4 linked regions of the Astyanax mexicanus genome follow. The protein of the gene in region 1 purifies or fractionates together with the protein of each later gene. This does not show direct contact. Links are inferred from orthologs where the notes say so. Each region holds a gene or a part of one and is shown on either strand. Other genes may lie near its edges.

Evidence for each region.
Region 2: the proteins of fus (region 1) and ilf2 purify together in Homo sapiens (affinity purification with mass spectrometry; 3 studies listed by BioGRID and IntAct, with this or other methods). This does not show direct contact. The link is inferred for Astyanax mexicanus from reciprocal best matches to the Homo sapiens genes FUS and ILF2.
Region 3: the proteins of fus (region 1) and sf3a3 purify together in Homo sapiens (affinity purification with mass spectrometry; 3 studies listed by BioGRID and IntAct, with this or other methods). This does not show direct contact. The link is inferred for Astyanax mexicanus from reciprocal best matches to the Homo sapiens genes FUS and SF3A3.
Region 4: the proteins of fus (region 1) and sf3b1 purify together in Homo sapiens (affinity purification with mass spectrometry; 3 studies listed by BioGRID and IntAct, with this or other methods). This does not show direct contact. The link is inferred for Astyanax mexicanus from reciprocal best matches to the Homo sapiens genes FUS and SF3B1.

The regions. Positions count from the first base shown.
Region 1 is NC_064426.1:19,752,908-19,760,106, forward strand, and holds the start of fus (RNA-binding protein FUS), read right to left. Parts: upstream 3,007-7,199; 5' UTR 2,843-3,006; coding exon 2,830-2,842; intron 2,410-2,829; coding exon 2,382-2,409; intron 1-2,381. Other genes in the region: si:dkey-16l2.17 (serine protease 33), read right to left, coding at 5,371-5,631, 6,242-6,408. UniProt on the Homo sapiens protein: DNA/RNA-binding protein that plays a role in various cellular processes such as transcription regulation, RNA splicing, RNA transport, DNA repair and damage response. Binds to ssRNA containing the consensus sequence 5'-AGGUAA-3'.
Region 2 is NC_064410.1:45,266,989-45,274,325, reverse strand, and holds the start of ilf2 (interleukin enhancer-binding factor 2 homolog), read right to left. Parts: upstream 3,023-7,337; 5' UTR 2,908-3,022; coding exon 2,903-2,907; intron 1,269-2,902; coding exon 1,209-1,268; intron 390-1,208; coding exon 347-389; intron 255-346; coding exon 150-254; intron 1-149. UniProt on the Homo sapiens protein: Chromatin-interacting protein that forms a stable heterodimer with interleukin enhancer-binding factor 3/ILF3 and plays a role in several biological processes including transcription, innate immunity or cell growth.
Region 3 is NC_064410.1:279,034-286,183, forward strand, and holds the start of sf3a3 (splicing factor 3A subunit 3), read right to left. Parts: upstream 3,016-7,150; 5' UTR 2,888-3,015; coding exon 2,792-2,887; intron 2,259-2,791; coding exon 2,211-2,258; intron 2,107-2,210; coding exon 2,054-2,106; intron 1,964-2,053; coding exon 1,858-1,963; intron 1,748-1,857; coding exon 1,675-1,747; intron 1,350-1,674; coding exon 1,258-1,349; intron 1,172-1,257; coding exon 1,089-1,171; intron 851-1,088; coding exon 712-850; intron 145-711; coding exon 76-144; intron 1-75. UniProt on the Homo sapiens protein: Component of the 17S U2 SnRNP complex of the spliceosome, a large ribonucleoprotein complex that removes introns from transcribed pre-mRNAs.
Region 4 is NC_064418.1:3,449,512-3,457,020, reverse strand, and holds the start of sf3b1 (splicing factor 3B subunit 1), read right to left. Parts: upstream 3,012-7,509; 5' UTR 2,935-3,011; coding exon 2,907-2,934; intron 810-2,906; coding exon 637-809; intron 493-636; coding exon 391-492; intron 280-390; coding exon 165-279; intron 16-164; exon of another isoform or gene 1-15. UniProt on the Homo sapiens protein: Component of the 17S U2 SnRNP complex of the spliceosome, a large ribonucleoprotein complex that removes introns from transcribed pre-mRNAs.

The sequences.
Region 1 (7,199 bases):
TTAGAAGAATGTAAACTAAAACTAAAATTAAAACATATTCTGGTTTGTTTACAAAATAAATATATGTGTCTGTAAAGCTTTATTATATTACGTATAATATTAATTATGCAATGTTAAAAAAAACATTTTAAATGAGGTGTGATCAACCTTTTGATTGGTACTGTGTATTCCTGTAATTATATTTTAATGATACAAAGACCACAAACTGCTGTCTTTCTAAATTAATTATTCTCTCAGTTTTACAATACACTGTTTCAATTTAATTAACCGATCTTCCAAATTTAAGAAAGTGTTCTCTCAATCTTATAAACTGTTCCTTCAATTCAAAAATTTAAAACATAAAAATTTACCATTTAATTATCTGCTAATAAGGTTTACATTCTTTCGCCACTGACTAATATGTACGATTGGATATGTGTCCATTCTGAGAGGACAGAATAGAATTTCTTCTAGAAATTAATTGTCAGGTATAATATTTTTGTCTCTTTTAGTTTTATTTGGTTCCTTATATGGGCTCCAGCAGCAGCAGCGGTAGGAGCCGTTAAATCAGGGGTGTCCAAACTTTTTTTGTTGGGGGCCAGAAGGAGAAATATATTTGAAGTCACGGGCCACAGTCCGTAATTAAACAAATAATGAAATATACCACTTTAAAAAATAATTTTTCCTGATTATTTCATTTACACACCATTTTACTTGACTTACTATCTTTATCTTTGACAGTGTTGTGTAAACTAAGATTTTTCAAATTGATGTTTAATTTCATGATGTCTCTTGATATTAAACTCCTTAATTACGGCAACTTTTAGACTCTTTGGCCCCGTTTTTCTACGCTAGAAATGCGCACCCTCTCCGCTTTTAGACTCTTTGGCCCCGTTTTTCTACGCTAGAAATGCGCACCCTCTCCGCTTTAAGACTCTTTGGCCCGTTTTTCTGCGCTAGGAATGCGACCCTCTCCGCTTTTAGACTCTTTTACCCCGTTTTTCTGTTAGAAATGCGAACCCTCTCCGCTTTTAGACTCTTTGGCCCCGTTTTTCTACGCTAGAAATGCGCACCCTCTCCGCTTTTAGACTCTTTTGCCCCGTTTTTCTACGTTAGAAATGCGAACCCTCTCCGCTTTTAGACTCTTTGGCCCCGTTTTTCTACGCTAGAAATGCGCACCCTCTCCGCTTTTAGACTCTTTTGCCCCGTTTTTCTACGTTAGAAATGCGAACCCTCTCCGCTTTTAGACTCTTTGGCCCCGTTTTTCTACGCTCGAAATGCGCACCCTCTCCGCTTTTAGACTCTTTGCCCCGTTTTTCTGCGCGAGGAATGCGACCCTCTCCGCTTTTAGACTCTTTGGCCCGTTTTTCTGCGCGAGGAATGCGACCCTCTCCGCTTTTAGACTCTTTGGCCCGTTTTTCTGCGCGAGGAATGCGCACCCTCTCCGCTTTTAGACTCTTTTACCCCGTTTTTCTGCGCTAGGAATGCGACCCTCTCCGCTTTTAGACTCTTTGGCCCGTTTTTCTCGGGCCACAGTCCGTAATTAAACAAATAATGAAATATACCACTTTAAAAAATAATTTTTCCTGATTATTTCATTTACACACCATTTTACTTGCCTTACTATCTTTATCTTTGACAGTGTTGTGTAAACTAAGATTTTTCAAATTGATGTTTAATTTCATGATGTCTCTTGATATTAAACTCCTTAATTACGGCAACTTTTAGACTCTTTGGCCCCGTTTTTCTACGCTAGAAATGCGAACCCTCTCCGCTTTTAGACCCTTTTACCCTGTTTTTCTGCGCTAGAAATGCGCACCCTCTCCGCTTTTAGACTCTTTGGCCCCGTTTTTCTACGCTAGAAATGCGCACCCTCTCCGCTTTAAGACTCTTTGGCCCGTTTTTCTGCGCTAGGAATGCGACCCTCTCCGCTTTTAGACTCTTTTACCCCGTTTTTCTGCGCTAGAAATACGCACCCTCTCCGCTTTTAGACTCTTTGGCCCGTTTTTCTGCGCGAGGAATGTGCACCCTCTCCGCTTTTAGACTCTTTTACCCCGTTTTTCTGCGCTAGAAATACGCACCCTCTCCGCTTTTAAACTCTTTGGCCCGTTTCTGACACCTAGCGTTCAAACGTTGAATCTCACATTATAAAAACCTGTTTAACAGCGGGCCAGCTTTCATTCTATTACTAAAATACCTCGCGGGTCGCTCCAAAAAAGGAAAAGGGCCGCAAATTGCCCGCGGGCCGCAGTTTGGACAGCCCTGATGTAGAATGTGTTGCTGGTGGTTTTAAGGTGATGTTTAAGGGGGTCTTGGTCTCCTGAGCTGCTGCTGCTGTTTATTATAGAGGAGCTTTAACACCAGCAACTGAAAAACCCCGAGAAACACAGGGACACACTCACCCTCCATGGCCGGCAGTCTGGGGATAATCTGCAGGGATAAGTAAATGCTTTAATTAACAGACAAACACTGATAAATATCTGCACAAACACTCGCAGAAATATCTATAAAGGTAATAACACTAAAATATCGAAGGTTTTGAGCCCCAGGTCTGAAAGTAGGTCAGTATATCACTTTGAATAACAAAATGGCGGAGCCCGACATCTTCTTGTAGGGGGTGTTAGAGAATAAAAGCCTGTTAATAACAGAAACGCTGTTTTCATGCGCTTAAAACTAACGAGCAGTGACTCAAAAGGCCATGTGTATTGTCAGTACACCTGAGGGACTGCAGGCAGATTTTCTGGCTAGGTTAGTTAGCTTAGCTAACGCTACCTCCGTTATCAATGAGAAACGCAGCTTAAGGCTGGAAAACCCGAAACTGAACAGAAACACAGACAGACAGGGACTTACCGCTCGACGCCATGACCAGGTTCACACTTTAATAAAGTGTAAAACGCCTGACTGTGCTGTTATTTTTATATTCGGTGATAAAGCTAAATAAATACTGTGTAGTTCAGCTTAAATTACAGAAAATAGAGCTCCGCTCCTCTCAGTGTGCCCGGCTGAAGTGACACCGGCCTGTGCTGCTCACTGTCGGCCTGAGGGTGGCGCTGCGCACCTGGAAAAAATTAAGAGACCACTTCAGTTTCTGAATCAGTTTCTCTGATTTAGCTATTACAGGTATTTTTGTTTAAAATGAACAAAGTGGTTTTATTCTATAAACTACGGACAACATTTCTCTCAAAATCCAAATTAAAATATTGTCATTTAAAATATGATATCTATATGCAGAAAATGAGAAATGTCTAAAATAACAAAAAGATTCAGAGCTTTCAGACCTCAAATACTGCAAAGAAATCAAGTTCATATTCATAAAGTTTAAAGAATTCAGAAATCAATATTTGGTGGAATAACCCTGTTTTTTAAATCACAGTTTTCATGCGTCTTGTCATGTTCTCCTCCACCAGTCTTACACACTGTTTATGAATAACTTTATGCCATTCCTGGTGCATAAATTCAAGCAGTTCAGCTTGGTATGATGGCTTGTGATCATCCATCTTCCTCTTTATTATATTCCAGAGGCTTTTAATTTGGTGGTAATTAAGTGGTCTCTTTTTTCCCAAATCTGTATTTAACAGATTGTACCATACATGTAAAAACAAAACAAACAAAAAAAAACTTTTAGACACTTTTATTAGAATTTAATACTGCTTCGTGTATCTGGCGTGACCCTCTTGTTCACCAATAACCGCAACTCAACGTTTGCTTGCTTCAGGTCCTGCCACAATATTTCTACTAGATCAAAATAATTACTTTACCTATTAAGTTTATTTCTTGGGGGTCGCTTAGATCAGCAACTGGGGTCGCTCCTTGTCTTGCTGCATGACCCACATTCTCTTGACACTTACTCTTTGCAACCTAGCTATTCACACCATTGTTGTTTAATGTTCTCCTGATGGTGGACCCATTAACATTAACATTGTAAGAGAGCCAATGTGAGCCAATGTGTAAAAGGCCCTTAGTTGCTTAGAAGTTACCTTTGGTAAGCCTTTGTGTTCTCAAAGATCTTTGTCTGTACAAACTTCTTAGATACTATGAAACTTCTTCATAGTTTTGCAACCCCCTCAGAAATCTTGTTTATTAATGCTTGATACACTTACCTTCCATAAACATTTATTGTGAAGGTCAGACTTGTTCTATAAATAAAAGAGGATGCTCACTCACTCCTGATTGTCATCCCTATTATTGAAAACCCCAGACTCAAATTTTACCATGAAATTATCTACAAAACTTAAAAGGTTCACATTCTTTTTCCACTGACAAAGTAGTGTAGTATTTTTTCAGTAAATTCCTGTTCCTTTCAGAGCCTGGAAAACGTTACATAATGAAAGGATACGCTATGGATCTAATGAAAGATGCTAAATATAAAAATACAAATTAGCTAAATCTAATGAGCTAATGAGGTACCTTTACAGAGATAAAAGCTGCAAATAAATAACCAAAAAAATCAGGCAACACTTAAGAATGTAATGTATTTGATTCCTTCATCAGATGTATTCATTCATCAAATGTACATTATCCTGCTTCAGGACACAGGTCCTTCATAAACACTGCACAGCTTAAAAACCTAATTCAACATTGTATAGACTTTTAAGAAGTTAAAAAAAAATTAAAAGCATTGAACTTATTGGAACCTTATGGATAGCAATGCCCACAACAAATGCTCAACAGAATAGTAACAGTATAGTATAGGAAACAGTAAAGTTCAGTCACATCGTTATTTCACTTACTTCAAAGATAAAAATTAAAATTATAAAAATACAATTTAAGGTATTTTGGTTATGGTAACTGATTCCTTGTATGAAAAGAAACTAAACAAAACATTTAAAATGTAGTGTATATGGCAATAAATGAAACATTAATCAATCAACATCTGCTTTATAAACATACAATATTAAAATCAATTATCATTGACCCATCAGACAATCATGCATCATTAAATTAGCTTTGCTTAACTTTTTTTTGTAAATCGAAGAATGTAGTGTAGTATAAAAACATATCTTTACTGTCCCATTTGGAAACTAATCTGCCCAAACAGCCGTTACTAAAATCAATTAGGAACATTTGCATTGATTAGCAATAACTTGTAGTCACCTTTATCATAGCACATGAGAAATGGCTCAGAAAGAAAAGACCAGTGTTTAGCTGATGTAGTTGAACATTTACATACTGTAGTTCAGTATTGGCTGGATTAGCATTCAAAGGCATAGTTTCTCCTCTGGTAAAAGTGATCACTTTTCACAATCCAGTATTTCCAATTTCCAGAAATTGTCCATTTATTACATATAATACTAACCCATTGTTAATAATTATTTATTTAAAACATCTTTTTGTGTCTTGGGGGATCTTCCATTTCCTACTGTCTTTTGACACAAAACTACACACTTCCTGTTAACATGTCCAGTGTGTCCCCAGTAGCACTGATGCTACACTTAGACTCAGCACCAGAAGGTTTTCAGCCCCACAAATCCACGCTTGTCCCAACAACTGGGCTTCAGGCACCGTGGAGCGGATCAGTTTAGCAAAACTGGACACTTTGGCGTAAACTCCAGGTCTGTTCTGTTGAGCGCATCCCAGTCCGAAACTCACAATCCCTGCCTGAATCCACGTCCCATTGCCCACGGGACAAACAAGGGGTCCTCCAGAGTCGCCCTGACAGAAGAAGGAATATGAACGTTATATGATGATTTATAAGACCTTAACCTTTCTTTGACCTAAAATATAGATCACAATTGGCACAGTATAAACCACAGATGGCTGTTTTGTCAACAGGGATTAAACCTGCAATCTCTCTATAGCCCTTTCTGGACAGGATTAGTTTCTCAGGGGGACTACTCAGTAATAAAACACTTGCATCCGCGCTGCAATAAAAAACAGGAGGACCAGTGAGTTTTTAGGCTTTCTCGGTTTAATGACATTGCGTTCAGTAACTTTCCTATTGAAACTCAAGAGATGTAATCCGGACGGGACTAAAATTACCGGAGGACCACGGAGCTTTGTGAAAAACAGTAGGTTATTCAGCCTGTAATTTTCTAAGAGGACGTCTGAGAAAAACACATACATGGTCGTTCAGAACAGGAATAAAATTACAGAGGACCCCCATAAAAGAGAAAATTACCCCAGGACCCACTGAGAAACTAATCTCACCCAGATAGGGTTTAAGACAGGGCCAACACCCAGGAACCCAGCTGCTGTCCCCTTTTTTACTGACAGAAAATATGGCCTAGACCTTTATTGTTCAAAGCTCCACTGCAGCTCCTACCTGGCATGAGTCTTTGCCTCCTTCTTGGTATCCAGCACAGATCATATCTGAGAGAATTTCCACTTTCTCTGAGTTGGATGACTGGATCGCGTACATGGTGTTGCACGAAGCTTGGTCAATTATGGGCACTCCAACTTCCCGTAGCGTTCCAACACCAGAGAGAGGGACTGTGCAGAGAAGGCACCACAGTTACTTAGAGAACCCAAATATGACCAGAATCAAGAAGGACTTGATTATGTAATGTCACAGAATATTTGGCAATATATCAAATATTTCGGCCCAAATGGCCAAAAATTAATGCTTTTGATGTTCGGCTGAATATGTAAAAAAACTAAATAGTTTATACTATATAATAACTAATTCATTTTAAACTATAAGAGCCCAGACACATTTCTGAATTCTTATACCAAATTAAAAAAATATTCAGATAAATTCAGTGAGCAGCTCATTCATGTTTTTCTCTTATTGTGGCCACATGACTGTGATTGTTTTAAAGTTAAATTATAATATACTATAAATGATAAAACAACTATCTTATACCTTGTATTTTAACATTTTGATTTAGAACTTGTGTCAGAACTTGTTAAATGATTGATTAAAACATGCAAATTGATAAAATGGTTGAAGCAGCTCTGTATAAGCCAAAAATACACTTTTAAAATAATTAAATTTTCTCTCCAGCCCAAACCCAACACTTCCATATTCTCTAAATTTATTTTTGTAAAGTCAGATGAATGTACACAGATTCACAGACTGTCCTGTGATGCTCTCAGGATGTTCAGTATGTGTCACATAGGGAAATTTTTGATTTACAATGACAGACAAATTGTTGTAAAGAACCAACTTTTCAACATCTTTGGCTTATTTGGTCTTTGTTTTTTGTAGTGTTTTCTCTAACATTAGGATTGTGTTTAGAATCTCTCCATCCTTCCTCAGGTGCCCCACTGCACATCCAAGT
Region 2 (7,337 bases), on another chromosome or scaffold:
AGACAATCAATTAAGCTACTATCGTTTCTCTAAACCTCAGAATTCCACAATATACTCGTACACAGACAGATTTTGATTGTGACCGATTTTATCCCCTGATTTTATCCACACAATTTCATTGCTGGGTTGTAGTGTTAAAACTTGGTTACCTGCTCAGATGGTGTTGGAGTGAGATCTTGGTTGCGCTTCAGAAGAGCCTCACTAAATGCAGTCTCATCAGGTGCCGGCTTCACTCGTGGAAAAGCCATCTCACACTGGAAAAGCAAAATTTGGTTTATGAGTACAACTGTCACTACAGTATCTACATGTTAAGCGCCTTAAAAGCATAAAGTAAAAAATTACTTACAACATAAAAGTCAAACGGTATGTGTGGGACAAAAGGGCGGTACCTGAAAGCCAAACAAAAATGTAAATAATGACATAGCAGAACTGAAGCAATGCTTAAAGCACCTTGTCTTTGTTGATGGAATACATGTAAACATCAAATAAAAACTGAAAAAATATCAGCCACGACAGACCACCAAATCAGGGAGGGGTTCCTTTGGAGTTGTCTGCATAAACAGACCTAATTCAATTTTGCAGTTCATTACCCTGTTTAAATAAGTTTGAGTAAAGAAATCACTGTGCTTAATATCAAATCTTCTGAGTTAACCCAAAAGAACCAATATTGACATGTCACACACCCCTTATGAGCATTGTCTGTCATTTTAACTCATACAACCCCTAAGTAACATACACCCCTAACACAGGATCACATGTCAGTTTGTTAATGCATCTGACCTTACTTACAGAATGCAGGAATTTGTGCTTCAGGTCTAATCCAACAATTTTAACAATTAAAATGCTTCACTTAAAGGTTTTAGATAACTAGTTCTGATGACACTGTTTCTAAGACAAAACATTAGAATAGAGGTAATGAAATTGTTGTCATTTGAGTTACATGAGGATTTTAGCTGTAAAATACTTACAGTTGTCTGAACAAAGTAAAAAAGAATGAGAATGAGCTGCGCACTCAATTTATCAGATGTAATTTTAAATTTGATATCAATACTTAGAAGTGGGTCTAGGCTTATGTTTTTAACCAATGGTTCTCAAACTGTGTTAGCCCCAGAGCCTGTACACATTGTGAGATCCATTAATTCAAGACCCAGCTTGGAAACCAAAATTAACACAAAGCAAATCTAACGGTTTTGATCACATTATCTTACCCCTGAACTAGACCTCCACGGGAGCCGAAGCGACCACCACGGCCCCTTCCACGATCGCCTCTGTTGAAAGAAGAAAGAAGCATGTTAGATAACTGGCTAGATTAGTCCAGTAACATAATCTAGGTTAGTGCACACAAACCCACAGCTGATGCTACTGTTCAAGGCATAGCATTAACAATCTATAGTATGAGTTATATTTTTGGGGAGAAAAAAAAAAAAATCACACCACTATATGGGAGATTTTTTTCTTTGAGAACTTTTGCTGATTATTTGAATCCCCACGGCTTTATCATGATGCCGATGCCAAAAGAGGTCTATATAATGTTGAAAAATAACTTGTTTTATTAAGCTAAAAGCAAAAGAACATAAAATGAATTAGTGCTGGGCAGCATACCGGTTCATATGGATAATATTACTGCACACTGAATTTATTCACACTACAGAAAGAAGGAAAATGAGGCTTTAATACTGTAGTTCCTCTAATGGCTTCAATAATAACATTGTAAACTAAAATATTAAAATTGTGTATTGCTTGATGTTATTGAGGTTTTTTAGAAATAGCTCTTGAATACTAAATATTTAGTATTTTAGGTCTGTTTACTGTTTAGTTTTAACTATTTATTTAGTTTTGTAAAGGAAGTTGTAGGCACATCTTTTTCTAAGGTCTATTGTTTACATTCATCTGTTTTTCTACTAATGAAGTCATAGGTTGTGTAATTTTGGGGAACAAAATACACCCAATAGTACAGCCTTAATGTTTGTATTCATAAACATTCATTAAGTCATAAACCTATATAAAAGCCCAGTCATGCAAATAAAATAAAATACAATAAAAAATACAGTAAAGCCGTCAGAATCTTGAAACAAATGTGACATCGATTTTTGGTCATAACGTCCAGCACTTATTAGAATATAAATAGCCAAATATGCTTCTTTACATAATTCTTGCACATCTAAGTAACATTATTTTTATTTATGATCCACTTGCACGCCTCATGATTTAGAACGCAGACATGCCATTTAACATTACATTAAAAATAACAAATACATAATAAATAAGCTATATAAATAAAGGCTATGGTGTAATAAAATATGTTTTGTTGCCTGAGAGCAACATCATGCCATAGAGGGTTAATTAAGCAGCCTGTCCAGGACTAGCTAGCTATCTTTAAGCCAGGCTGAACTAGTACACAGAAAACCATTAAAAAAATGGACCAATTACAAATCTAAGCACACTGAAATGAAACAAATTCATGTGTTTTCCAAGAACACAGACTGGTTATTTTAAATACACAGCTAACCTAGGTCAATATTAGCTACCCATCATCAATTTAATACCAGCTAACTGTTAGCTACACTCGGCTAAACTGGGGTTTCATTCATTCATTCACACACAGCGACGCGACGACGATTAAACACACAAATAGCTGCATTTACCCAGCCTTAAAACACCAACGAATAAACAACTCCTTTAACAAGACATCATACAGTAACACCGAGCAATTCCCCTGACTTCAGGCTAATCACCACGCCAGATATTAAACTAGCGAGCTAGGCTAGTTTAAGCTCATGCTAGCCTGTAGGCTAAAGGCCCTCAAAACGCCGATAAATCATTCTCAATAAATAACGATATTACTGCGCATTTCACCCCAAAAAACACGAATGTCACAAAACAGCGCAGATAGATATCTCACCTCATTGCGTAAGACGTGTTGGCAGCTTTATAAAACAGAGAAAAGATGAAAATGGGTCACCGGCACCCGGAGCCGCCGCTGCTGCTGAGACGAGCTGAGCTGAGCTAAAGCTGAAAGAGCAGCAGGGGAAACGGACAAAGAGCAGAAGTACCCCAAAATAAAAGTCCCTGCATGCTTAACCTACCGCACCCCCTTCTCTGCGGGAAAAAACACCTAAATAAAATACCTCTTACTACCAAATATTATTTATTTCGAATGGACGAATAAATTAATAAAAAATAATAACAGCTACAAAGAATAAAATAAACACAAATAAATAATTCCAATTAATATTAACACGCCAATGACCCATAAACAATTTTAGCACGATAGCTTTCACTGGTACAAAATGAATACATGGTTGTTAAATTGCGTGTGTGCTTTTTATACGTTTTTAATTGCATGCACTTTTCTATTTTATTTCACAATTAAAACACTTTAATTGTTTCTTATATTGAATTAAATTATAAAAAATGACTGACATCAGATTAGATTTGTCCCAGTCTTTATTAAACGTTTTTTAATGTTGTGTTAATATCCCTGCAATGTCACTTGTGTCAATGTTTTCATTTTCAATTTTGGGAATGTCACTTTAAACATTTCCATAATGTTAGTGTTCAACTAGCTGGGAAAGTTACGTTTAATTAACGTTGCAGTGCAAACCATTATGTTGTATGTTTTCAGAACATTCCTGGACCAATATTTCTGTAACATTGCAGAAATTTTACCTTTTCAAAACGTTGCTAAATGTTCTTACAACGTTCTCTGCTAGCTGTGACATCTGTGGATTTAATGTATGTGAATGGTATTATAAAGCTCTGTTTAATGCTTTACTGTCAGTTTTGAGTCATGCAGGTCCACCTGAAAGAGAAAGTGGGGGCTGGAGGTTGGAGGTGTGAGGGTTTAGGAGGGGTTGATAAGATTTAGATCTTAGTCTTAGTCTTCTTGTGGAGGCAGTAAGGGCTTTTGTTTCTCTGCTGTTTGCAGGTTATGTTGACATGTCGGCCTGTACATGTAGGCACATCCAGTGTGCACTTAAGTGGTTTGCAGCTGAGTGTGAACAGAACAAAATGAGAATCAACCCCTTCAAGTCTGAGGTGAGAAAGTGCATGTTCAGTAGAGGTGTGTTCTCTGTAAAGCAGGGGTGTCAGACCTGTCCACAGTGAGCAGGTTGTTCTACCCATCGATACATGCTTCCCAAAGGTACTGCGCATGCGCTGACATACACAATTTAATTATATCTCGTGTTTTTTATTTATAATTAATCTGTTTTAGAGGGACGCACTGTCATTGCACAAAAGTGTAAATGAAAACTAATAATTACAATTATTATAAATAAATACAAAAGCAGTTTGTAATGAGCTTTATTTGCCATACCTTTGCCATGATACAATGATTTATGCTATCCAAATCTAATAACGTACATATACTGGAATTTCACTGGGCCCTAAAATAGTGCTTTTTTGTATTTTTACACTTAAATATACATTAGGGCAGCACGGTTCGACAAAGTAGGACAATTCGACAGAACGGTGGTTCTGTGGTTGCAGGTTTACATTTCAGTCAAACAGATGTTGGAAGACTCATTAAATTAGAGGAATCGGGGCTGCTGCTTGTTGCTCAGAATTAAAACCTACTGTCACATCGGGTCAACATGGAATTAATCTGGCACGGGGTGCCCAAACCTTTAGAATTGTGAGGTGCTCTGAAAGTGTAAGATTATGCAGGATAAACAGCAGATGGCAGCAAACAGCACATTATTGGTCAGTGTTCATCTAAAAAAGACCTCAACTGGTATAAAATATTAGATAAATATCATACCCGTCAAGTTTTAGATTTAAAAATAAGGGATATGTTCCTCTGTCCGCCTAAAGCCGTCCCTCCAGCCCAACGAAGGTTCAGTATCCCTTACATTTTAAGACAGGTTTACAAAAAAATCTAAAATAACCACAAGTGAACCACTTACACACTAAAATTAGATTATCAGAATCTGAAATGTTGTGGACATTTCTACATGTGATTTTTTTAATACAGCCAAATTAAAATCCTTTTCTAGATATTAAAAAAAGTTAAGATTTCATGTCTTTTTTGCCATAAATGCACTCTTTTATATGATATATTTTTTATTTATTTAATAGATTTAAAATTGAACAAAGGGTGCACAAATTCTGCAAAATGACTGTAGGTGACCTAAAAATAGTATTATGAGCTTTTACTAAAAGGACATGGACCACATATATTCCATCAGTAAAATTAGTCCTAAGTGGCCTACACAATTAATACTTTTTAATTAATACTTCTTCTTTTTGATCACTCCACCCCTGATCAGTTCATTTCGGTCCTCTCCACATTTTAGTTAAGCTGAGTCAGCTGTAATTTTTATTTTATTTTAAAAGGTTTAATCTGTGTGTTTTATTTCAGAGACGAGTATTTTTAAGCAGCTATCAGAAAAATCTCCTCACAGTTTACATGATTAGACCTTTCTTAAAGAAAAATCGCTGAAAATCCAGATATGTTTTAACATCAGCAGCTCCGACTAGCTGCCTGAACTCACAGCGACTGAGGGCTTCACCACACTGACTCTCCTTTGCAAACTGATTGGCTGTTTCTCCTGAAAGGCGGGACTTTCTCCTTGAACCGGCTCCACGATTGGTTAAGAGACACAGAGCAGTCAGCTCCCTGTCTCCTTAATAATATATATTTTTTAATCTTAATATAATACGGGAAATTTACGGGAAAATACTAATACGGGAGGACGGCGGGAAAGAGGAGTAAAATACGGTAGTTTCCCGGCCAAAACGGGAGACTTGACAGGTATGAAATATTTCCTCTCAATAGTGTCTGTCACTATTAATTAAATCCAGTGTTTACCCATGAACAGATTTTAGTATGGAGTTCTGCACATTTAAACAAAAAAAAGTCTACAGGAGTCTACAAAAGAAAATGTATATAATGTAATTGTACCACTAGTTATGAAAACAAAGTAACTCCAATAGACCAACAAATGAATACACAGTGAGAAAACGTTTAAAATGTTTTTAGCATTAAACTATGAGTTAGAAGTGGATCGTACTGTGTCTGTGTCTGTATAAGTAATCTGCTCATTAGGGCCTGTAAAATGTATCCCTGGATCGGAATATGTTTATCCTGTATGGACAATTCTTCCATTTTATGTTCCCATTGTATAAATTCATATTAGAAATACAAAGTAATGCTTCAGATAATAGCCATCAAAAAAAATCAAATTTGATTTCATAATGTCCATGAAAGAAAAAAACATCAGTTATTTTCTACTTTAGCTTTTTCCCCTAGGCCTGACTGTATAAAAAGTCATCACAGTATTCACAGTACACTAAAGTGCCTCTTATACTTGCTGTTAAGTATGGGTTGGACAATATATGGATACTGCAATATATTGCAGTATTGGTTAGACTGGATTATATTGGTATGTGAAATCAAATATCTATATATATTTGTTAAAACATATTCACTCTAAACTCTCCCCCAATTTGACTTACTGTTTCATTACTCCACATTAGTTGTCCAATTCTGTGAAACCTTCACCAATAAATTGATAATTCCTGCTATTTGCTTATTTAGGAGTATTTTATCTTCTTCAGTAACACAGATGCTGTGAAGAACCATAGAGAATTGTGTTGTGATATATTAAGTATCACAGAGTCAAAGTAGTTTGATACCATTTTTACCATGGACAGCATGGATTGTGATAATATTGTATCATGAGATGCCCTGTTATCCTGTGATTCCCACCCCTAATTTTGAATAATATTAAATGAAACAAATGCAGCCCACCTCAGTGACAAGAAAAAAGGAAGAAATCTTGAAAGAAAAAACTGAATTACATTTTATAAAATTCTAAAGCAGCAGGGGCAGTGATTTTGCAGCAGTTGGCTGCTGATTCAAAGTATATAGAAGAAACACTGTACATAACTTTATATACTTTTCATAAACTCAGCATTTACCATCTTTTAATTATTCATTTGTTCATTAAAACCTTGATCTTGACATAGCTCCAATAAAAGATAAATTTTATATTTTCAAAAGTTCAGATGGTAAAAATATCTCTGGTTCAAACTGAATAGGTGTCCCTGGGAGAGGGTAAGAATGATCACTTTTGTATGTATGTGCGTGTGTGCGTGCGTGTGTGTGTGTGTGTGTGTGTGTGTGTGTATATGTGTCCCTGAGGGACGGCATACACACGTCTCCCCTACTGTCATCAGACTACAGCATGTGTCCGACCGCCGCACCGCTGCCATGACAACAGCATCCGTCATGACATCAGCACCTCTGTCTGACTCATACTGTGCAGGTCTGTGCAAAAATATGCTGTGCTTTGTGTGTGGATGTGTGTGTGTGTGTGTGCTTGTGTGTATGT
Region 3 (7,150 bases), on another chromosome or scaffold:
TTCATGAAAGTCCTCAGGGGGCAATGAACTATTAAAGCTATTAAAGCTGTGTGCGTTCCTGATGGAAAGTCTTACCTCCCAGGAGGAGAAAGCAGAGAGGTCCAGATGAGCTCCAGCGTGGGTCAGAGCGCTGCTCGCTTCTTTCTGTTTCACACAGAGACGCAAATAAACAACTAACTATATAATCTTATTCCTTTACATTTACACAAACTGGTTCACTGGGCTTCCGGCTTCATAGCATAGCATTACTCAGTACTGCATCTATTCACTCCACTAACTCATTCAATCATTTTATCTCATTTTCCTTTGACAAAATCTGACATGTTCTTTTATGATTTGGTATAGGACTGGGCGATATGGATAAAGAAAAAAATATATATACATATATATTTTTTGTTTAAAGAAGCTGATTGGTCAGTTGAGGTTAGAGTGGGCGTGTCTGCTCTAAAAATCTGTGTTTAATTCAGTAGTAATTATTCAATCTGCAGCTGTTTATCAGCGCTCTGATCTCAGAACAGGAGACCTGCTGGTTCTGAACTGTCTGTTTCGCCAAAAATAAGAATCCCAAATAATAGCAGATAATATTTGCTGTAACGCTGTAAACTCATGATGAGATGTTGTTGTGTTTCGGGTTAATTTAATTTTAACCTTAAATTACTGTGGAATTAAACTTTTTTTATTATAACAAACACATTATAAAAATAAACCCACCGGCCAGCCCGGGAAGGTTCCGTTCTCCCACTTCTTCTCAAACTCAACCAGAACTTTTCCATACAGCTCATTCTGATCCAGCAGAGGCTTCACCCGGTCTGTGTAATCCTGCAGGTACTCCAGCAGCATCTCCAGATACCTGACCAACACAAAACAAGCTCAGTACAGGATACCTCCACTGCTTACAGGTAGAAATGGTCTTAAATTTAAAGACATCCACTGTATACAGTATATAAAATAAATACACATACACATATAAACATTTATTAGTATTGTTCAATGTAATAATAGCCATCTATAATCTATTAAATAAAATAAACACTGTAATATACGACACAACATATGGTCACAATGTTCCCATGTGAAATTCGACTTACTTTTTGTACTCTGCATTCTTTCTATCTTTGGAGATGTCAAAAAGCTGATCAAACGAAGACAAGTAGGAGATATACTCCAATTTCTAAAACAGGAACAGAGGAAAACATCACATTAGCAAACAAACAGATAATATATATCTGTTAAAAACAGAAAAAGTGAAAATCATACCTCAGCTCCTTTCAGGTTGATGTATTTCAAATAACAGTCATGAAGATCTAAATAGCGTCCGTAGCCTTCTTCATCAGTGAACTCCACCAGATCTGCACAACACAGAAACACAGTGATGTTAAAACATAAGCCGTGATTCGGGCTGGTTAAAGGATACATGCGCCCATACATACATAAATATATAATAATGTTTCTTAATGGTTTACAGAGGTACAGTGCGACTTCTTATTCATTTTCTTTATTCATTCTTTAAAGTACACACTCTCTGTGTGTTTTAAATGTGTCTTTATGACTCATGTAGTTACTAATGCAGAAATATTGACTATATCCTTTGTACTGTCAGAATAGTTACTGTGATTTAGAGTAATAAATATAAACACAGCAAGTTTTACAGAAGCAATGTTAATATTTACTTACTTTGAGCTTCCTCACTGGGGTTATCTCTGGCCTTCACCAGCTCCTCAAACTCCACCGACATGGGCACACAAATCTGTGAAATTAAAGAAATGTGTAAAAAGGTTTTAAACTGTAATTCACACCCTAAGATAATGTACAGCAATCATGTAATTTTATTTAAATTTAAAAGATAGACTGCAGTACCTCATTAGGATGTTTCCTGTGAAATTCCTTGATCTGTTTCAGTCGGTTATAGAATTCAGCAAACTCATTTGGTCCAGATATCGCGCTCAGCTCTTCCTTCCGCATACTAACAAGACGTAATTACAAGTTATGATGAACAACACTGTTTAGTATCAGTGAAATAAACTGCAGTCAGAGAAAAACAAGCAGTTCTTACCCATCTTTATCATCGTAGGAGTCTCTCAGGTTTCCGCTTACTTCCATATGTCTCTGTGTGTAAAGAAAACAAGAGCAGACATGCATATAGATATAAATAAATGATATAAATAAATGTAGGCATAGGTTTTAATAATACAGAAGTAAAAGAAACTTACGTCCAGCATTGCTCGTATTCGATGGTCGGAATTAATCTGGTCACGCAACTGAAAGAGATGAATAAATAAACAGATAAACAAGTTTAAGTTTACAGTATATTTTACTTTTGTTTTATTATTCTACTCTGTTGTAAATATTGTTCTTTGCCTGTACACATGTTCTCTGTGACTTGACAATAAAAATCTTGAATCCTAAATCTTAATAAATTCTTGAATCAGAACAATAACTGATGTGTTTATAAAGCTACACTAAGCTAACTAACGATAGATGGATATTTTGCTAGCTTCGCTTAGCTAGCACCAAAAAAACTACAAACTAACGACAATTACGTTAAACATATAGAATTCAAATGTCTATAAAAGTTAAATATCCAAACTAGTGCTGTTTATTTTCCTCAGTTGATCAGATTTTACACTGAAATATACTTTATTTTACACAGACATCTCCTGAGTGAGCTCTGTTAGCATGCTAAGGCTAGGTTAGCTGGAGCTAATTAGCAAGTAGCTACTCTTCTCCATTCAAACACACAGAGGATTAGCATTAGCACCGTTAGCACAGATAGCCGGTTAGCTGTAATTACCGTGGTTTTCTTGTGCAGCATCTCCTTAGTTTTAGCGTCCATCAGTCGCTCCAGCTCCTCATGGTAGCGGCGCTGCTGCTCTAAAATCGTCTCCATGATTAAATAAATCGCCCGAATCCCGGGATTTACCGGCGGACTGTGGGCTGTTACCGGACTGAGCGCAGCGCTGCTACTGAAACCGGCTAAACTAGCGGACGCGCGTGTAACGACACGACCCCCGGTCCCGGTCCGCCGCTCACTCACTCCCGCCGGTAAACCGACCGAAACGTTCCGCCTCCGCCGCGCCGCAAAAACACAACACAAAAGTACTAAATACCTATATATGCCCATGTTTATTCAGTAATAAACATTCTCATTGTCTGCTGATATCTGTACCTCTTGCACATTGTTTTATTTTTCATTACACTGCCTTTTTTATCTGATAGATTCTAATCCATATTTCTCACATATTTGTTATAAATATTATGTATAGTATACAGTGATATGTGTTTATCTGTAGATAGGTTTTTACCAACTAATTAATACCCTCAATGCAGGAAAGGACTATAAGAAAGCAGCAAAGTATTTTACAGAACCGTTGAATAAGAAAAATTTAAAACCTTTTTTTAGATTTCAATCCGTTATATTTTTGTGCATACATTAAATTTTGCCCTTTATAGTAGAGTAAATTGGATGCAGTGCTGGATACGGTTCTCTTACAGCTGAAGTAACATGATGAAGTGTGATGTGGTGCCCTCTAGCTGCCCGTGATAGTGAGATAAACTGTGTGTGTACAAGACCTGGTAAACTGTTGTCAATGATGACACAATGTTGGAAAGCTTTCTCATATCCTATCTGTTTTTGTTTTTACATTTAGCCACTCCCACTTTATATTTTTTCATGCTTGGCCTTCAAACAGCCTGAGACTGGAAATAAACACATGTATGAAAGGTTTGAGATGACACTTTAGTTAAATTAGAACACATACCACAAATACATAAAATTGCATGTATAACTTTTGAATCTATTGAACGATTAAAGATATAATATGCGGAAAATAATTAGTTCAATCTTTTTTGAGCAAAATTCATATCCTTTTATGAGCCGTTTGAAAGCCTCCCAAACCTGCATAAAACCACCCTGGTTCCACCCCTCACCCATCAACCCCCACCAGAACCCCGCCCACTGGATCAGTTAAAGAAATGCCATTTCGGTCTGCTGGTTGAGAACCTCAGACAGAACACCGCAGTATTAGCCAGCAGACTTCGTCTGAGGGAGGGATCTGTACCTACTGTCCGGCAAGTCAGCAGATGAGGGGGATGTAATTACTTTCAAATAATGACTTTTGTGCTTCTCTCAGTTAAGTGTTTTGCCATTCAGCACAAGCTAACACTAATGTGTGGGAAAATGCTCAACCTATGGTGGTTTGGCCCAACACACTAAACTAATAAAAGAAAATTTTATTTGGACTTTTAATAACTTTTTTATACAGGTAGGCACAATACAGGACAACCAATCAGAACCAAAGTCAGTTTTAAATGTTATCTCAAAAGCATTTAAATACTGCTAGTTTTCATGTTGAGAGCTTGCTGGTGTGAATCTCATTTTTCTGATAAAAACAGAACCACCTGAAAGCAGAATAATCCCATAATTCCTGAGTGAGAAAGATCACAGAGGGAGGAAGGCACTTCGCTCAGTTAAGCACTTTTCAACATGTTGCAACAAATCCCAGGAGGAAGAGCAGGATATTAGGAAAAGATAGGAAAACAGATCAGATTTAAGGGGAGGCTCAGCTGTTAAAACCTGTCTGCCTTATAATAGTTTACATTTCAAACACTAATAAAATAAACTGAACAGACCAACTGGAAATACTCCAGCTTCAGGATCTGGGTTAACATCGAGCTGTGACCATAAACTATAGATAAACTAGTGAAAATATTCTCTTTATTTATCTTATCTCACTCTCTCTTTATATCTCTTAATTTCTCTTTAATTCAATTCAATTCAAAGAAGCTTCATTGGCATGACTAAATGATTAATTAAAAAAATAACAACTTTATCTTTCTCTTTTTCTCTTTATTTCCTTCTCTCTCTTTATATCACCCTCTTTCTCGTTTTCTCTTTCCTTCCTTCTCTCTCTTTATATCACCCTCTTTCTCTTTTTCTCTTTCTTTCCTTCTCTCTCTTTTTATATCACCCTCTTTCTTTTTTTCTCTCTCTCTTTATCTTTCTTTGTTTATGTTACCCTATTTCTCTCTCTTTATCTCTCTCTCGTTATATATCCCTCTCTCTTTATCTCTCTATTTATATATCTCCATTTTTCTTAATCTCTCTCTCTCTCTTTATAGCTCTTCTCTTTCTCTTATTCTTTCTCTCTCTTTCTTTCTCTTACACACACGCACACTCTCTCTCTCTCTCTCTCTCTCTCTCTCTCTCTCTCTCTCTCTCTCTCCCTCTCTCTCTCTCTCCCTCTCTCTCTCTCTCACACACACACTGTCTCACCGCGCGCTCGGTTGTGTGTCGGTGATCAGCAGTAGCGGTAGTGGGAGGAGAAGGAGAGCGGGACAGAGAGCGCAGCGCCGCCGAGCTTCAGTGTCTCTCCGCGCGGAAAAACCCAGCCCGACCCGGCCCGACCCTCCAGCGCGTCTCTCTCAGCCCCTGCGCGGCGGACAGGTGAGCGGGTTTGGGCTGGCTGTGGAGGGGGAGCCGCGGGGCTCGGTGTTGGAGCCGCGGGACTCGGTGGGGGAGGGCTGCGGGCGGTTGTTGTGGTTTTATGGCCGTTAAATAGCGAAACTACGCCGCTGGTGTTCGGCTGCGGCTCGGTGTCCGCGGAGTTAGGTGTGTTAGTTAGGTTAGCATTAGCTAACAAAAACCACACATTATCTGCGTGTTATCGGTGTTGGCGGCAGAAAGCGGCGGTGACCGGCCCCGGTGGTCGAGGTGGCTCCCGGTTGTATCCGGTGAGGTGAGCCGCGGGTTGTGTTTAATCCGCGGGGCGGGCCGCGTACCGGAGACCCGCGGGGCTGAAGAGCTGTTAGCGGAGTTCAGCTAAACAACCGACACAGATCCATAAACACATAATAACAAATACACACACACACACAAACACACACACATAAAACACATAAACATAAACACACAACAAAAGATATCAGGAAGATTCGATCACACCCACATGTCGGGGAGAAGGTGTGTGTATAGTTTTTATATTGTGTGTGTGTGTGTGTGTGTGTGTGTGTGAGAGTTTTGTCCCCTGCGACACAGGATTTCACACTGGTCATGGATTCCTTTCTGTTTACACACACAGTATAACCACGAGCTGAACCCTGACAGCAAAGAACGTTGAACAAACGTTGTTTTCTTTGGTCACATTACATCATCATTACATCATTTTAAAGTTTAATGAAGAAAAACTACATTGAAACAACCTTTATTCGTCATTGCCTCACAGGCATCGGTTAATGCTGACATTCTGACGTTGAATCAACGTTCACTTAACAATGTTCCAGACTTTATACACTCACAGTATTGCCATGAGCTGAAGCCTGACAGCAAATAACATCAGACAGACATTGTTTTCTTTCATCATGTTTTTATATTTTTTTAATGTTTTCCACGTTTGGTGGAAAAACAACCTTAAAACAACCTTTATCGAACATTACCTCACAGGCATCTTGAAAAAAAAAACTGACATTGAACCAATGTTTATTTAGTTAAAGGCTTTCAATGGTTGGTTCTCTGAATCCATTATGCTTTTAGACAAAAGGTTCTCTCCTCAAATGTCATCTTTTTTTTACAATATAAGAGCACAGTTTAGGCTGTAAGAACTATATAATACAAACATACTTGATTTAAGCAAATGCTGTTTATTATAAACAGTACATATAGTAAAACGATAATGTTAAAACAATGTTGAAACAATGCTGTATCAGCTTAAAACTGATGTGCGCAAAAATAAATCAATACAGACGTGAGATCAGCTTTGTTTAAATGAATTAGAGATGGAAAAATGAACAAATGAACAATGATTCCTTTTTGCTATCTTGTCATTTCCAGGGGATTTTAGCATTTCCCCAGAGAACCCAAACAAAGCTGTTACGGGTGACGCCGCATTACAGTGGTGTGATGTGATAACCAGAATCGATAATGTCCTCTGTGGAAATTTCTGCCTTGAATGAAACGATGCTTCTCCCCCAAACCCCCTTTTCTGAACAGCTCCCCTGAGAGGAAAACATGAAAGGAGGCACCATTGTGTTATAGTATTGTAATACTAGTGCAATAGTGTGAAGACATGTGCTCACTCCCTCTTTTTCTGAAATCAAGGGCATTAAAAAGGAGTTTGGCCCCGTTTGCAGCAGTAACAGACTCTGAGTTCTGGGA
Region 4 (7,509 bases), on another chromosome or scaffold:
AATAATCAATGCTTAGTCTAAATCTGGGAAGCAAGTTGTCGTCAAGTGCTTGAAGGGTTAACCACCAACACAGTGATATAGAGCAGGATTATGTATAGACACTGCATACTCCTCAGCATGGACATGGATGGGAGTATGAAAGGGAACAGCTGTGTGACATTTACCGTCTGCAAAGGGGTCATGGCGCTCAGGAGAGATGATCATCTTTTGTCTGCGTTTCTTGTACTCATCTTCACGGTCCGAAATCTTCTGCGGTCTGTGCTCAGCAAAAGGATCATACTGCAAAAAAAGGAGAGAAAAAACAAGTTAAAGATAATTAAACTCACCTAATGTTGCATATTTTAAAACATCTATAAATAGGAAGTGTAACAAAGAGTTGCATTAAATTACCTGCTCATCTGACTGAGGAATGGCATTGAGTATTGCCACTGGAGCATTGTACCCCGGCTTCTTCTGCCCAAGTAAACTCGTGGAAGAGTCCTCTTCATCATCCTTAAGAAAAAATAAAAATGTTGGTAAGATACAGTCTGTAAAGGTTTTGTCATATTTTAAGCACATATGATTTAGAAAATGTATGTGTTGCTTCTCCATGACTCATCTTATAAGCATATCAAATTAACTATTTGTACAACTTACTTCCTCCTGCTCGTTTGCTGCAATAGAGGTGACATATCCGGCAAAGCGGCTGTCGCTGCCTCCGTAAATCTCCTGGTCGTAATATCCAGTGGAATCAAGGCCGACACCCTGCTCTCCTTCCTCCAGCAGAGCTGCCTTCATCCCCTGGATTTCCAGGATCTGCGCCTCAATGTCTGAAAATAGAAAACAGGGAAATACCGTATGTTGAAAACATGACATCTGTTCAGACCCACACACCAGAAATGTACACAGGTATACACAGTAGGGCATGCAATTAATCTGGACACCAAGAGTGCACATACACAGCATTAAAGCATTAAAACTAATCAGATAGTTTTCAAAACAGTCCATGATTTGAACTTTATTAATTATGTCTGATCACAGAATATTACAGCAACACAATCTTTTTAAGCAATTGACAACTAAAATAAATGTAACTTAGTTTTGCTAATATTGTATTCATTCTCTTATTTACATTTACATATACACTATTAAAAGCTTAATCTTAAGAACACTACATGATCAACCATGATTAAATCACAAAAGACTGTAGTGATTTATTCAATATTTCTTTTAATCAAGTGACACCTCTAATAACCAACTTCAAACTTCAAAACAAAAAACATATTAATCATATAATTTATACGTCTTTGCTTCTTTTATGTGTATTTTGTGTTTTTTTTCTGTATTTGCTGCTTGTCTTGTTTGCTTCTGCTTATTTTGTTTTTGCTTTTTTTGTCACTTCACCACATGATCAACCATGATTAAATCACAAAAGACTGTAGTGATTTATTCAATATTTCTTTTAATCAAGTGACACCTCTAACAACCAGCCTGTTATTTACTAGGGGTACAGAATACAGTCAAAATTTATACCAACCTATTTTATGTATGAAATGAATATATGTTAATTTTGGTCAATACGATATAATACTAATATAACTAATAAACCAATAAAAAACATTTTTAGCAATGTAAAACTCAAAACCTGTGGCGTATGTCAATCACCCACCTGGTTAATATAATAAAAATATTATTTTCCGCACACACGTTTTTGTGACAAGCAGACAAAATGAAGCAGTATTAGCAGACTCTGCCGGTTGAAGACTTTTATATTTTATATGGACATTTTTATTGTATAAACCATCGCGAAACAGTGTTCTAGATCACGTTAAAATTGTAAGAATTAGCTGTTATATAGCCTCAATGGCTCTAGAACTTGTTTTTCCAGTGCAGTAGGCGGGGCCAAAGGTTTCATGTGTTTATAAACGTATTCAATAGCTGGTTCATGAACTATTCTGAAGGACAAGAGCTCTTGAATAGTGTTATGTGCAACAAAACATTTTGAAAAATAAAGAAAATTAAGTTACATGGTGTTTATTGTAGCTTAACGGATGCAGGGTCTGAGAGGATTACGTTAATACTTAGGAAATCGTGTTCTTATTGCAATGCCATTAAGCTACAAATTATTCGACGTTAGCTATTTAGGTAACGTTACTAACATGTTTGATACCAACCAATATAGCCATAATATAAAAAGAAAATATATATATAACCCAAAGAAACCACTAATAATGTAGTCAAACCGCTGAATGACTTCAGACATGCTGCCCATGTTTTGTTAGCATCTTAGCTAGTCAAAAGTAGTTAGCTTAGCTAACTAATCTGCACCAACGGGCTACGTACTAAACTATCTAACTCGCTAATTTTCTTGTTACTAATTAAGTGAGCCTTCTGCTAACGCTATTTTGAGCCACACAAAATATAAAGCTTACACTAAATCAGTATTAAACCGCTAAAACGAAGGGAATCACGCTGTATTTTGTGTAATGGGAGCAGTTAGCTTTAGCTGGGTTAGCTCACAGAGCGCCATTTTGAGCAGGGCCACTAACAGGCCGCGCACAGCAGCGCTGGATCCTGCGTGAGGGTTCTGTTTTTAATCACCACAGGCTGTCCGACTATAATTTCCCTCAAATAATGCTAAGGTATTCTTTTACACATTTTTCCGCATGTATAAAAAGATACAGAGCGAGTCTACAATGATTTAAACCGCCTGTATCTGCGGTTCATTGGCGGCTTTAGTTAATAAAGCGCTCAGTCGCCATGTTCTCTTCTGCGCCTCGTTCGCACTACGATGGTTCACTTCGCAGCAGCAGCAGCAGCTAATTTCTCCAGTCATGCCACGAGAACCAGCCAGCAAACCGTTAAGAAAACGTATATGTAGCCTGTTCACACCGCCTGTACTGAATATATGTAATATACGCGCTTACCTTCATGTGTTTTGGCGATCTTCGCCATCGTTGCGTCTGTGTGAAAGCGCCCGGAAGGCCTCACTACTCAGACTATGCTCAGCGGCGCATGCGCAGTACCCACAATGGGCGTAGACATAAACACGCTCAGAGGCAGAATCACTTACAGAAGCTTTTATTTTAAATTAATTTAACTTATTTGGGCAGTTAATGTACAGAGGTACTTTTTGTATACACCTTAAACAAAATTGAGACATTAAATACATTAAAAAACGTATATACATATACCTCCTGGTAGTTATATACAGTGGGGGAAATAAGTATAAAATATAGCCGCAAGCGGCAATCATCGGGTTCAAGCACCAACTGGCACAATGGTGCATACTAGAGAACTGAATGGTGATGTGTAAAAAGGGCTAATATGATTGGAGATGCCCTGTCACATTTAGAGATTATTAAAAAATTTTCACCTGTTATTAATGTTGAGCAGAAGCCTTTCAACGTGATCAGTGCTTAAATTGTAAATTGTAATTGTAATGTCAATCTAGTGAAGTTTGTAGGATATTCATCAAGTGAGTTAGATCTAGTCAAAATGTGTCTACATGTTATTGGTATTGATCAGGTGGTTTCAACCAGAATGTTTACAAAGTGGTGTTCAGATTGACCTTTTGACCTTTGCAAAACAAGCTGAAATGTTTTACCAAACAAGTTTACATTAACACAAATGAGTTCATTGTCTGACATGACATGTAATTACAAAGTTATTCTAAATCTAGTTCTGAATTAAATGGCGCTTCATCAAACAGCAACTGGCACAATGGTGCCTACTAGAGCATAGGATGGTGATGTGTAAGAAGGTGTAACACAATTGGAGACACTCTGTCACATTGAGAAATTATCAAGTCTTTCACCTGTTATTAATGTTGAGAAGAGGCACAAAGGAGTGCATGTTCTGATATGACATGTAATTACAAATATATTCTAAATCTAGTTCTGTATTAAATGGCGCTTCATCAGAGTGATATTGTACAGAGGTCTTTGACATTGTGAGATTACAGCAAATACTGCAGAGTTACAGCAATTTAGGTTGAAAATTTCAAGGACGCTCAGACTGCTTGATGCCTGGACACTATTGTATGTGAAATTTTCACAAATGTTTTTATTGAATCTTAACCTAGAGACTCTACAGTGTGCAACAAGTCTGAAATGGCGGTGATAGGCCAAATATCCAGAGACTAGTATCAATATTGCTATTTTCAAACAATTAGCAGTTCTGAATAAACAAAGCACTTTTTAAACATAGTTGTATTGACAAATTTGTCAGAGCCACTGTACTAAATATGGCACAAACATTTAGATGTCAAAATAGTATAGTATGATTGACATGTATTCGATTTGTTGGAACAGCGCCCCCCAGTGGTCGGATTGTTTCAGCAATTTGCAGGTCACTACAGCGTCTCCACCTGAACATAACTGCCAAGTGTCATCCAGATTGGGCAACATTCAGCCTGCCAAAATGTCTGCTGAATGCTGATTGGCTGATGGTGTTCAGCCATGTTGATTGATTAAGTTGCCCTTTGAACATCCTTTAGAGGCTGTATGACAGATTCTGCATGCAAAGTTTCAGCTTGCTAGGTTGCACGGTTGCTGAGAAACAGTGTTCCAAATTTAACAATTGAAGTGAATGGGGCATATATCCGGAAGGACTAATTTGCATATGGTGGCCATATTGTTTACAAATTTCAACTTTTTCTTAATGAATATTGAAGGCCATGCTCTCACGAGTGTTTTGATACCAAACATGCCAGGATTGATCAAAATTCCTAGGACTAGTTCGCAAAAGTATGTTTTGCATATTATGCAAATTAGCAAAAAATCTATATAGACGGAAGTGCATGGTCCAAATTGGAAAGTTGTAGGTATTGACCCAAGGAATCCATCAAACAAAGAATTTTGAATGTAGGTCTTATGGTTTTTGAGTTATTGAGAAAATTGTGAAAAATGAATTTCCTTGTTTATAGCGCCACCACTTGACCAATCGGTGCCATTTTTGTTGTCCACCGAGATGCACTGATCCTACATCTACCTACCAAGTTTCATTTCTCTATGACTTACGGTTTAGGCTGCACAACTGTTTTTACAGGAGAAAAAGAATAATAATAATAAGAAGAAATATAGCCGCAAGCGGCAATCATCGGGTTCAAGCACCAACTTGCACAATGGTGCCTACTGGAGCATTGAATGGTGATGTGTAAGAAGGTCTAATATGATTGGAGATGCCCTGTCACATTTAGAAATTATCAAGTTTTTCACCTGTTATTAATGTTGAGCAGAGGCCTTTCAACCTGATCAGTGCTTAAATTCACATGTAAATCTAGTGAACTTTGTAGGATATTCATTAAGTGAGTTAGAACTAGTCAAAAGGTGTCTACATGTTATTGGTATTGATCAGGTGGCTTCAACCAGAATGTTCACAAAGTGGTATTCAGATTGACCTTTGAACCTTTGCAGAACAAGCTGAAATGTTTGACCAAACAAGTTTAAATTAACACAAAGGAGTGAATGTTCTGATATGACATGTAATTACGAAGTTATTATAAATCTAGTTCTGAATTAAATGGCGCTTCATCAAGCACCAACTAGCACAATGGTGCCTACTAGAGCATAGGATGGTGATGTGTAAGAAGGTCTAACACAATTGGAGACATTCTGTCACATTTAAAATGATCAAAAGTCTTTCACCTGTTATTAATGTTGAGAAGAGGCACAAAGGAGTGAATGTTCTGATATGACATGTAATGTCAAGTTATTCTTAATCTAGTTCTGTATTAAATGGTGCTTCATCAAAGTGATATTGTACAGAGGTCTTTAACATTGTGAGATTACAGCAAATACTGCAGAGTTACAGCAATTTAGGTTAGAAATTCCAAGGACGCACAGATTGCTTGATGCCTGGAGAGTATTGTATGTGAAATTTTCACAAATGTTTTTAATGAACATTTACCTAGAGACTCTACAGTGTGCAGCAAGACTGAAATGGAGGTGATAGGCCAAATATCCAGAGAGTAGTTTCAATATAGCTATTTTCAAACAATTAGCAATTATGAATGAACAAAGCACTTTTTAAACATAGTTGTATTGAGAAATTTGTCAGACCCACTGTACTAAATATGGCAAAAACAATTAGATGTCAAAATAGTACAGCATGATTGACATATACTCGTTTTTTTGGAACAGCGCCCCCCAGTGGGCGGATTGTTTCAGCACTTTGCAGGTCACTACAGTGTCTCCACCTGAACATAACTGCCAAATATCATCCAGATTGGGCAACGTTCAGCCTGCCAAAATGTCTGCTGAATGCTGATTGGCTGATGGTGTTCAGCCATGTTGATTGATTAAGTTGCCCTTTGAACATCCTTTAGAGGCTGTATGTTAGATTCTGCATGCAAAGTTTCAACTTGCTAGGTTGCACGGTTGCTGAGAAACAGTGCTCCAAATTTACCTCTTGAAGTGAATGGGGCATATATCCGGAAGGACTAATTTGCATATGGCGGCCATATTGTTTACATATTTCAACTTTTTCTTAATGAATATTGAAGCGCATGCTCTCACGAGTGTTTTGATACCAAACATGCCAGGATTGGTCAAAAATCCTAGGACTAGTTTGCAAAAGTAGGTTTTGCATATTATGCAAATTAGCACAAAATCTATATAGACGGAAGTGCATGGTCCAAATTGGAAAGTTGTTGGTATTGACCCAAGGAATCCAGCAAAAAAAGAATTTTGAATGTAGGTCTTATGGTTTTTGAGTTATTGAGAAAATTGTGAAAAATGAATTTCCTTGTTTATAGCGCCACCACTTGACCAATCGGTGCCATTTTTGTTGTCCACCGAGATGCACTGATCCTACATCTACCTACCAAGTTTCATTTCTCTATGACTTACGGTTTAGGCTGCACAACTGTTTTTACAGGAGAAAAAGAATAATAATAATAATAATAATAATAATAATAATAATAAGAAAAATCTTAGCAAAAACAATAGGGTTCTACGCACCTTCGGTGCTTGAACCCTAAAAATCTTAGCAATAACAATAGGGTTCTACGCACCTTCGGTGCTTGAACCCTAAAAAGTGTAGTTGGCAACTTCAAAACAAAAAACATATTAATCATATAATTTATACGTCTTTGCTTCTTTTATGTGTATTTTGTGTTTTTTTCTGTATTTACTGCTTGTCTTGTTTGCTTCTGCTTATTTTGTTTTTGCTTATTTTGTTTTTGCTTTTTTTGTCACTTTAATAAGTGACAAAATCAGATTTCAATCAGATTTCAACTGGGGCCATTGCTTCTGCTGTCTGAGATGGATTAAATGTTGGCTAATCAGGCCCCTAGTCGTTTATTAATTGAATGTTGTATAAAAATGCTGCCTGCTAAGGTGCTTTTATCTTGCAGATTTGTGAAAGCAACGTAGATGTATACTTTGCAGCCTTAAATATATTACATATATATATTTAATTGCCAGTGTGTCAGTGCAGTTATGTTACAATGCTTGTAGTAAATTATAGTAGACCAGAGATTGGAATATTGAAATATTGTGCATATTAAAGGAGTTCTGTAAGGTGATG